Nothobranchius furzeri: one gene and its partner. The protein of the gene in region 1 purifies or fractionates together with the protein of each later gene. This does not show direct contact. Links are inferred from orthologs where the notes say so. Each region holds a gene or a part of one and is shown in the gene's direction. Other genes may lie near its edges.

What was found. Proteins that work in one complex are often made in the same cells at the same time.
Region 2: the proteins of fbxl17 (region 1) and zbtb10 purify together in Homo sapiens (affinity purification with western blotting; 3 studies listed by BioGRID and IntAct, with this or other methods). This does not show direct contact. The link is inferred for Nothobranchius furzeri from reciprocal best matches to the Homo sapiens genes FBXL17 and ZBTB10.

What each region holds. Positions count from the first base shown.
Region 1 is NC_091757.1:53,109,637-53,113,286, reverse strand, and holds part of fbxl17 (F-box/LRR-repeat protein 17), read left to right. Parts: coding exon 1-130; intron 131-275; coding exon 276-407; intron 408-3,650. UniProt on the Homo sapiens protein: Substrate-recognition component of the SCF(FBXL17) E3 ubiquitin ligase complex, a key component of a quality control pathway required to ensure functional dimerization of BTB domain-containing proteins (dimerization quality control, DQC).
Region 2 is NC_091759.1:557,533-561,704, reverse strand, and holds the start of zbtb10 (zinc finger and BTB domain-containing protein 10), read left to right. Parts: upstream 1-1,338; 5' UTR 1,339-1,544; coding exon 1,545-2,201; intron 2,202-2,590; coding exon of another isoform or gene 2,591-2,654; exon of another isoform or gene 2,655-2,669; intron 2,670-4,172. UniProt on the Homo sapiens protein: May be involved in transcriptional regulation.

The sequences.
Region 1 (3,650 bases):
GAAGTACACAGCCTACCGCTGCAAGCAGCTGGGTGATAGCTCTGTGATAGCTTTGGCTACACACTGCCCTCTTCTGGTCAAAGTGCATGTTGGTAACCAGGACAAACTCACAGATGCAGCATTGAAGAAGGTGTGTTTTAAAAAAAACCACTTGTGTTTCGCCAACAAATACTTTTCTTGTTGGCTTTACTTGTTTTTAGTTTTTACAGATAAAGTATAAAGACATTTGGAGTATTTATTATGTTAGAATGATTTATTTATGTTTTTGTCATCAGCTTGGATCAAACTGCAGCGAGCTGAGGGATGTCCACTTGGGTCAGTGTTACGGCATCACAGATGAGGGCATGATGGCCTTGGCCGGAGGATGTCCCAAACTACAGAAACTCTACTTGCAAGAAAACAAAATGGTCAGTTTGCCTTTTCTTTGTCAGCTAGCCGTCTGCTCCCTGCTTTCTCCTTGTCCTGTATAAGTTCTCTTCATACAGACACAAAGGCACGCGCACGCTGGTCGGGCAATGTGATGTTGGTGATTGAATAATTAGAAAACGAATGCAGCCAAATCTGTAGGCCACGACTACACACAGTTGTTAATTGATCAAAGAATAGATTTTTATCCACCTCTGGTTTAGATGTGTCAAATAATTGACAAATCATTTTCTTTTTTGCTCTCACTCTCAGTCTTCAAAACGAATACAAAAGCACCTGATCATAGACTGATTAAAAAACAAAACAAGGAAAAACAAATTAGCTTCAGGTTGCAATGTTTCTCTTTAATAATTTTATATTTTGACAAGTTTACAGTTTAAATTAACAGTAAAGTGTAAGAAAAACTTGTGTTTTCTCTTTTATCCCCCAAAATACATGTGAAATGTGTAAAAGTTAAATTAATTTGACACAATTCAAGATATGGATTGATAAGTATGCTAATTTGTAAATTTTTACACACACTCACGCATGCACAGACACACACACACACACACACACACACACACACACACACACACACACACACACACACACACACACACACACACACACACACACACACACACACACACACACAGAGAAAATAAGTGTCTTAACTGACCACCAGATGTCATTTTCTTTTCCAAACAGCTGACCAACTGATTCATCATTGAATGCCTTTCTACTCCCAACATCTCCTCTTTGAGTGACTGCTTTGAACTTTTAAAGCTAATTAATTCATTTCTGATATGTTATTAGTAAGAAGGCAGACAAACTCCGTTTCTGTTAACACAACACCCATCTTGCTCAGCCATCTCTCTTCTATAGTCATGACTCATTCTCCATCTTACTGCACACACGTTGTGTCTTAAGGTCCAGGTGCTGCACTTCTTCACAGTTAGTCTTTTTTACCATTCTTGATATTGTGTTTTTAAATCCATTAATACGATTTATTTTAAACATTTTAAACACAGTTTGTTTAAGTTAGCATCATGGTGCGTCAAAATGTGAACAGTATCCCCCTCCCTCACAAAGCATGGCCCTCTGACAGATTTCTTCTTTCCAAACGCTCGTTATCTCCATCCTCTTTGTTTCACTAATGCATTCCCATCTTTTCCCAGCTAATATTCCTTTGGAGTCGGTGAGTAATCATGACCTTGATGAATCGGCCCAGTGTAAATTGTCAGTATTAGCTCACTTTTTTAAAACCCCATTCATCAACTAAATAGTAAAGGAAATTAGCGATTAGGGCTAGGTGAGAGATTAATATTGCTGCTGATAATATTTCAGCAGGGCCGTATCGATTTCAGATGGTGATATTTCAGATGTGCGAGGGTTGCAGTTATTTAGCTTCCCATCATTAAGGCAGAGAGGAATGGGCTGTGCTTATACAGGAATTACGTCGTGGAAAGTGGTAATCTAGTTGCCTGGCCCACAGTTCCCATTAACTTGCCAGAAGTGATGATGACGGGGAAGCCTCTTATGCTCTCTGACAGCTTGGAAGACAGTTTCAGGTTCTCCACCTTATTGCTGATTTTATAGCTTTGTGGGAAGTGGTTGAAATTGCAGTCTCCAAATGAACGTGGTGCTTTGAGATCTAAAAATATGCTTCAACGTTTAGATTTTGACACCAAATGAGGGCTAATGGCCGAGTCACATATGAGGTGTATAGCAGCAGTAGCTCAGGTGGTAGAGCGGGTTGCCTCATGATCGGAGGGTCATGGGTTCGATTCCAGCTCCCGCCAGGGGTATCCTGCTGTTGTGTCCTTGGGCAAGACACTTCAACCAACTTGCCTGTGTTAGTGGTGGTCAGAGGGGCCGACGGCGCCAAATGGCAGCCTCGCCTCTGTCAGACCTCCCCAGGGCGGCTGTGGCTACAAGTAGCTTACCTTCACTATCAGTGTGTGAATGTGAGAGTGTGTGAAAGCGTCTTTGGGTGTCTAGAAAAGCGCTCTATAAGTTCAATGCATTATTATTATTATTATAGCTGTCTTGTACTTGGAGAACCTGGTTTCACACTAAATCAGAGAGATTAGAGACCACAAGAAAGGCTTTTCTAGAAGGTTTAAATATAAGTTTGTGGGAGCGTCGTTTGGGTTCAGTGAGCTGAGCCGTGAGACGGGCTGTTTGAATGGCAAAGTCGTGGGACAGAAGTGAAAGTGTCCTACTGAGATTCTCTCCTCCCCTCTTCCTACACCACATTCTTGTGTCTGTCTGTCCTAATCAGTCACAGATGAAGACGAGCCTTCCTCTCACTTTGATCTACCCGTTTTGTCCTCTTCGTTCTACAAAATTCAATAGTTAATTCTCTTTTGGGATGTGTCTTTGTCATGTGAGCACCCACAGATGTTGCTTTTCTCATTTTTCCTGCAGGGGTTTGTTTTTGGGAGTTAAGACTATATCAGGCTTTGGAAATGCTTGAATAGCTTTTAAGAGAAGATAATGACTAAAACAAACAAATGGTTGTTGTAAGAGAATAAACTGTTAGCTGCGGTGCTCTTGCAGGATGGAATATGTAATGAAAGTAACTTTTTTCATTTTAAAGGTCTTGTTCTCTGGAAAATCATGTAATACTTGGTCTTTTAAAATCTGATCAGTTGCAGATGCATCCCAAACAAAAGTATCCTCAACTCTTGTTGCTTGCATTAGCAGCAGAAGGGGATAAAAAGGTTCAGGGTCAGATAAAGCCGATCTTTTCTCTGTCTGAGGTAAAATTAGCATTCCTTTACAACGGTGCATTCATATTGTGTCCAGGACGCGTCATTTGGATTTCTAGGATGTCCAAGGAAGATCCTGCCTTTCTCGTCTCTGATTGGCTAGAAAGGCTCTACGACGATTGGCTATTTCATTTAACAGCAAACTGGCTGTCCTCGCTGCTGACTGTGTCCTGGGGGCACAGATCATCAGTGCCCCAGACAAGCTGGTTCTCAAAGTCAGAGACTCTCTTGGTCAGCTTGCTTCTCACACCAAACCTTCCGTCAGGAATCTTGGCGTGACCTTTGACCCGGCTCTCACCCTGGATTCTCATGTCAGCTCTCTTGTTCGCTCTTCCTTCTTCCATCTCAGGAACTTTGCTAAGCTGAGTCCCATTCTGTCCCGCTCTGAACTTGAGACAGTTCTCCACACCTTCATCTCCTCACGCTTAGACTACTGTAACTCTCTTTTCACGTGTCTGAGCAGAACCT
Region 2 (4,172 bases), on another chromosome or scaffold:
TCTTAATGCTTGCTGTTGAACAACATGTTTCTTGCTATGATTTCACTGTTTCTAGCAGCATAGATGAAATTATTAAGATATATTATTATGAAAACTGCAGATTATATTATTCATGGTTTTTAATAATCTATTGTAAACCAGAAACAACCCCATGCTAGATGTTTGACCCTACAAAAACAGAAATATTGCCGAATTAGCCAAGTATGTAGTAAAGAAGAATGCCTCAGAATCCATGAGCATATGCCAGCTCAGGTGCAAATGCTGATAATAATCAAGTCTAAGAATATCAAAAATTACTAACATGCACACTTTAAATCTGATCTCTTATTCTAATCTGCTAAAAGTAAAATGTTGATGTGATGCACTTTAGGTTAGTTAGTCCAACTATCTTCCAGCCTGGTGAAAATTAACTTAGAATTGAAAAATAAGAAAAAAAATGTTCTTTTTCGCATAATTGGGAAAATAATATGACATGCACCGTGTTAATATGTAGAACATTTGTTTACTGTTGATAACTGAGAAACTGATATTGATAAATACACCCAGAAGCTGCACACAACAGCACAATTTTGAGAATTGACCTGTCATTGGGGTAAACACAGGTTTAGACCCCACTCATGATCCCACACTGCGTGTAAAATACTTTTCAAACTCTTTTCAAACTCATCAAGGATTACTTATTAACAACTGAGACTCCCATGAAAGAGTGCCACCTGCTGGAACTATGTTTAATAGACATGGAGCAGAGATACGCTTAAACAATATTTTTTTAAATCTGATTGATTCAGAGAGGATGATGGTTTACTGGGGTTAAGTAAGAGATTTGTGATTTTAAAATTGTTAAATTGTTGATGAACCCTAGCACATACTTCATGTTTTAAGTTTATTGTCGTACATTTTTATTGTATTATACCAGTAAAGGTGGTGTTTTTTAATTTGATGTCTCTGTGTAAAAGTATTACGTAAATGGATGCATTAATTTTAGTTGTGACATTCTTATTTTTGTAAATAATTGATTGTGATTTATTTGACATACAAAGACAGCATGCATTCCTGTAGGAATAGATTTATTACTTTTTGTCCTTTTGTCAAATTAATTTTGCACACAGGTAAAAATGGGGCGCTGGTTATTTAAGGTGGAAATTTAAAAAAGGAAAGCAAAATGGGTGCAGCCCAGCCTTGAAACACAAAAGCCCCCTTTAATCATCTACAGCACCCCCATCTTCCTTTAAAGCCGCCCCCACTCCCCTCCCTCCCTCTTCTCCTGTCGAGGTGCATTGTGGGGAGGAAAGTCGTTGCCATTCGACCTCTGCGGGGCCTGCGCGGACGCAGCGAGAACCCTGAAATTCATTATGCGTTTAAAACCTTTATTTATTTCCGCATAACCTACATACTCTCACCGGGAGGTTCGAGCCGAGACCAGAAACGACGGCGGTGCATCTCTTTCGAACAAATCCATCGTTTGTAAATATATTATTTTATCGTCGGAAGGGAGATACTGTCGAGAAAGTGAAGATTGTAACGTTTTGTATATTAAGGGGAAAATGTCTGGCGAGAGAAACCGCAGGTCGTTGGCTTTCCGAGGAGGTGGATTAGCTGGGTTAACGGGTTCCAGCAGCATCGGCGGGGGGAACTGTAACAGCTGGGAGGCCCCGGCCTGTCAAGATCGACATTTTAACGGGAATCGGTCGGATCAAGAGGAGGACCGGGATCTGGGAGCGAAAGGACCGTCGCAGAAGAGAGTGGAGGGCGCTGGATCTGTCAGCGATAGCACGGAACCCGAGGCGGAGGAAGAAGAGGACCCGGAAGGGGGCAGCTGGGCAGCTAGGGACGTTGAGGGGCTCCGTGGGACCAGGGAGGGCAGTAGCTGGACAGCGGGGAACGACACCAACAACAACGAAGACGGTCTGGAGTCCCGGAGCGCAGCGAGGGGTGGGGAGACGGGCTCCAAGAAATCCGGGGTAGAGATGAGACCGCAGACGCTGCTTCAGAAACACTCGCTATTCCACGCTTCGTGGCTGCAAGAATTTCCATGGCTCAAATTTAGCCAAGAGACGGGACTCATGTCTTGTTCTTGGTGCCACAACATTGCCACTAAAAACAGCGACGAGCTCGTGAAGGGCAGCCGAAATTACAAGCGGGCCTTGCTGCTGAGACATCACCTGTCTTCTGAGCACGGCAGAAATGACCCCACCAAACAGGTAACGTTAGCTGGCTTTCGTTTACCCACGTAACACGAAATACCTGTCAAGCAACCCGAAACACTATATGCCAGTACTTCTTTTGTCTCTAATGGCGTTTTAGTAAAACCAATAAAACACAACCGAAGCGAAAAATGGTCTTTTGATTTCAGCGTCGCGAGCCCTTCCTCGGGCTAATTAGTTAGCCTCCGCTTGCTAACCTGAGCTAACAGCTAGCTTAGCTTTCTAAATACTTGAGGCGTTGCTGTCTAACCAGAAGTAGATGGACAGACAGGTCGTGGGACATGCTTAAGATCGAAACCTGCCCACTTAATATTAAACGCGAAACGTTTCCTTATTGCTTTAAGGTGTTAAAGATCGTTTACTGTACGAAAGCTACAAGTACACACCTGCTCCACGACACCTGCCATCTGCACAAGAAGTGCATGTTTTACTGGCTTTGAATGTTTGCATGAGATAAACCGATCGAGTCTGGCTATGTTGGCTTGCTTTCTGGTTTCTTTGCTTCTGTTTGTAGTCATTTTAAATTGATGACTGAACGAATATTTTTTTCATATTTATACGTGATTGCCTGACTCGGATCCCTTTTTTCATGAACAGAAACGGTTAGTACTCACAAGAATAATACTTTTCCACTAAAATGCCAACCCACACTGAATTCTAAGACATTTGACAATCCCTCTATAAAAGAAGTACACTTAATAAATAACTTGCATTTGATCCACCCACACACACTGAATCAGACCATCATGGTACCAGCACCAAATGTACCAGTGCTAAGATTGTGTTGATAAGACCTTTATGCAATAAAATAGAAAATCACAAGTGTATTGTGTTAGGATTAATCATTTATTTTTTTCCTTTTGGTGTTTGAACCCATTAAGCTGACTCTCCTTTCAAAATGCACTATTGATCTCAAACAACAGTTGGATTGTTGACTCCTGTATTTAACAGTTTTGGCATCATTTATGATTGCTAGCTTGCCAGAGGTCACATGATAGCATCGGTTTGACCCTGACAGCCTTTGGGGAGCCGCACCCCTACCCAACCCCCCACCTCTCATGCGAACTCTGCTGCCTTGCAGTCATGGATGACCTCTGGTGCCGTTCTTCCTCCACAGCCACCACCTCCTCCTCCCTTTAGGGAGCTAAATTAGAGGCATTGTGCTAGAATGACCCCCCAAAATCCATAGACGGTGTCACTTGCAAGGCTGAACGAGAGGAGGAGAGTAAATCATGCTGCATGGTGGCTGAAAGCTTGCTTGCCCAGAGGCGACCCTTGGAAGGGTTGGAACCTGAATCGGTCTTCATTATTTCTAGATTTGTAGCTCTGATTTCTTTAATATATTTTCATGCAAAGATTATGCAGTTACCTTAACCCAAAGGGGTACCAAGCCACAACGGTATCCGCATTCTGCTTAAAGGCTCCAGCCAGATTTGCATTTGGAGCATGTCTTCACTGATAGGCACAAGATCTTTTTTTATCGCTTTATTAACGTTACTGCAGTGTAGACATTTCTAATGAGCTGTCTTCGTCATGAAAACAAACATGGCAGATTCGCCTGTGCGGTTTGGTGAAGATCATTTATTTTAATTCTTTGCTGCTCATAAGGCATCTCCATATCTCGACCCCATTCTGAAACTGGTCTGAGCTGTCAGGAGAATTAGGAACGGGGCCCAATTTGACTCTAATTTGTGAGCGAAGAGGATTTCACCACTACATTTAGGTCCTTCCTTTGTACACGCAATCGCTAATCAGAATGACTTAAAGTCGTCCACCAACTTGTACACATCTCTAATTGGTAAGGAGGCCTGTAGGAGTGGATTAGAGGCTTGGTGTGGCCTTTTCCCTAGTAACAAGGACCCCAGATGCCGCGTTGCTAACCATTTCCTCCTGCAGAACCCAGGAGGGTTCACATTTTCTTCTTTTATCTTTTAAAAAGCTCTTATTTTTTGTGCTGCTTCATTTAAA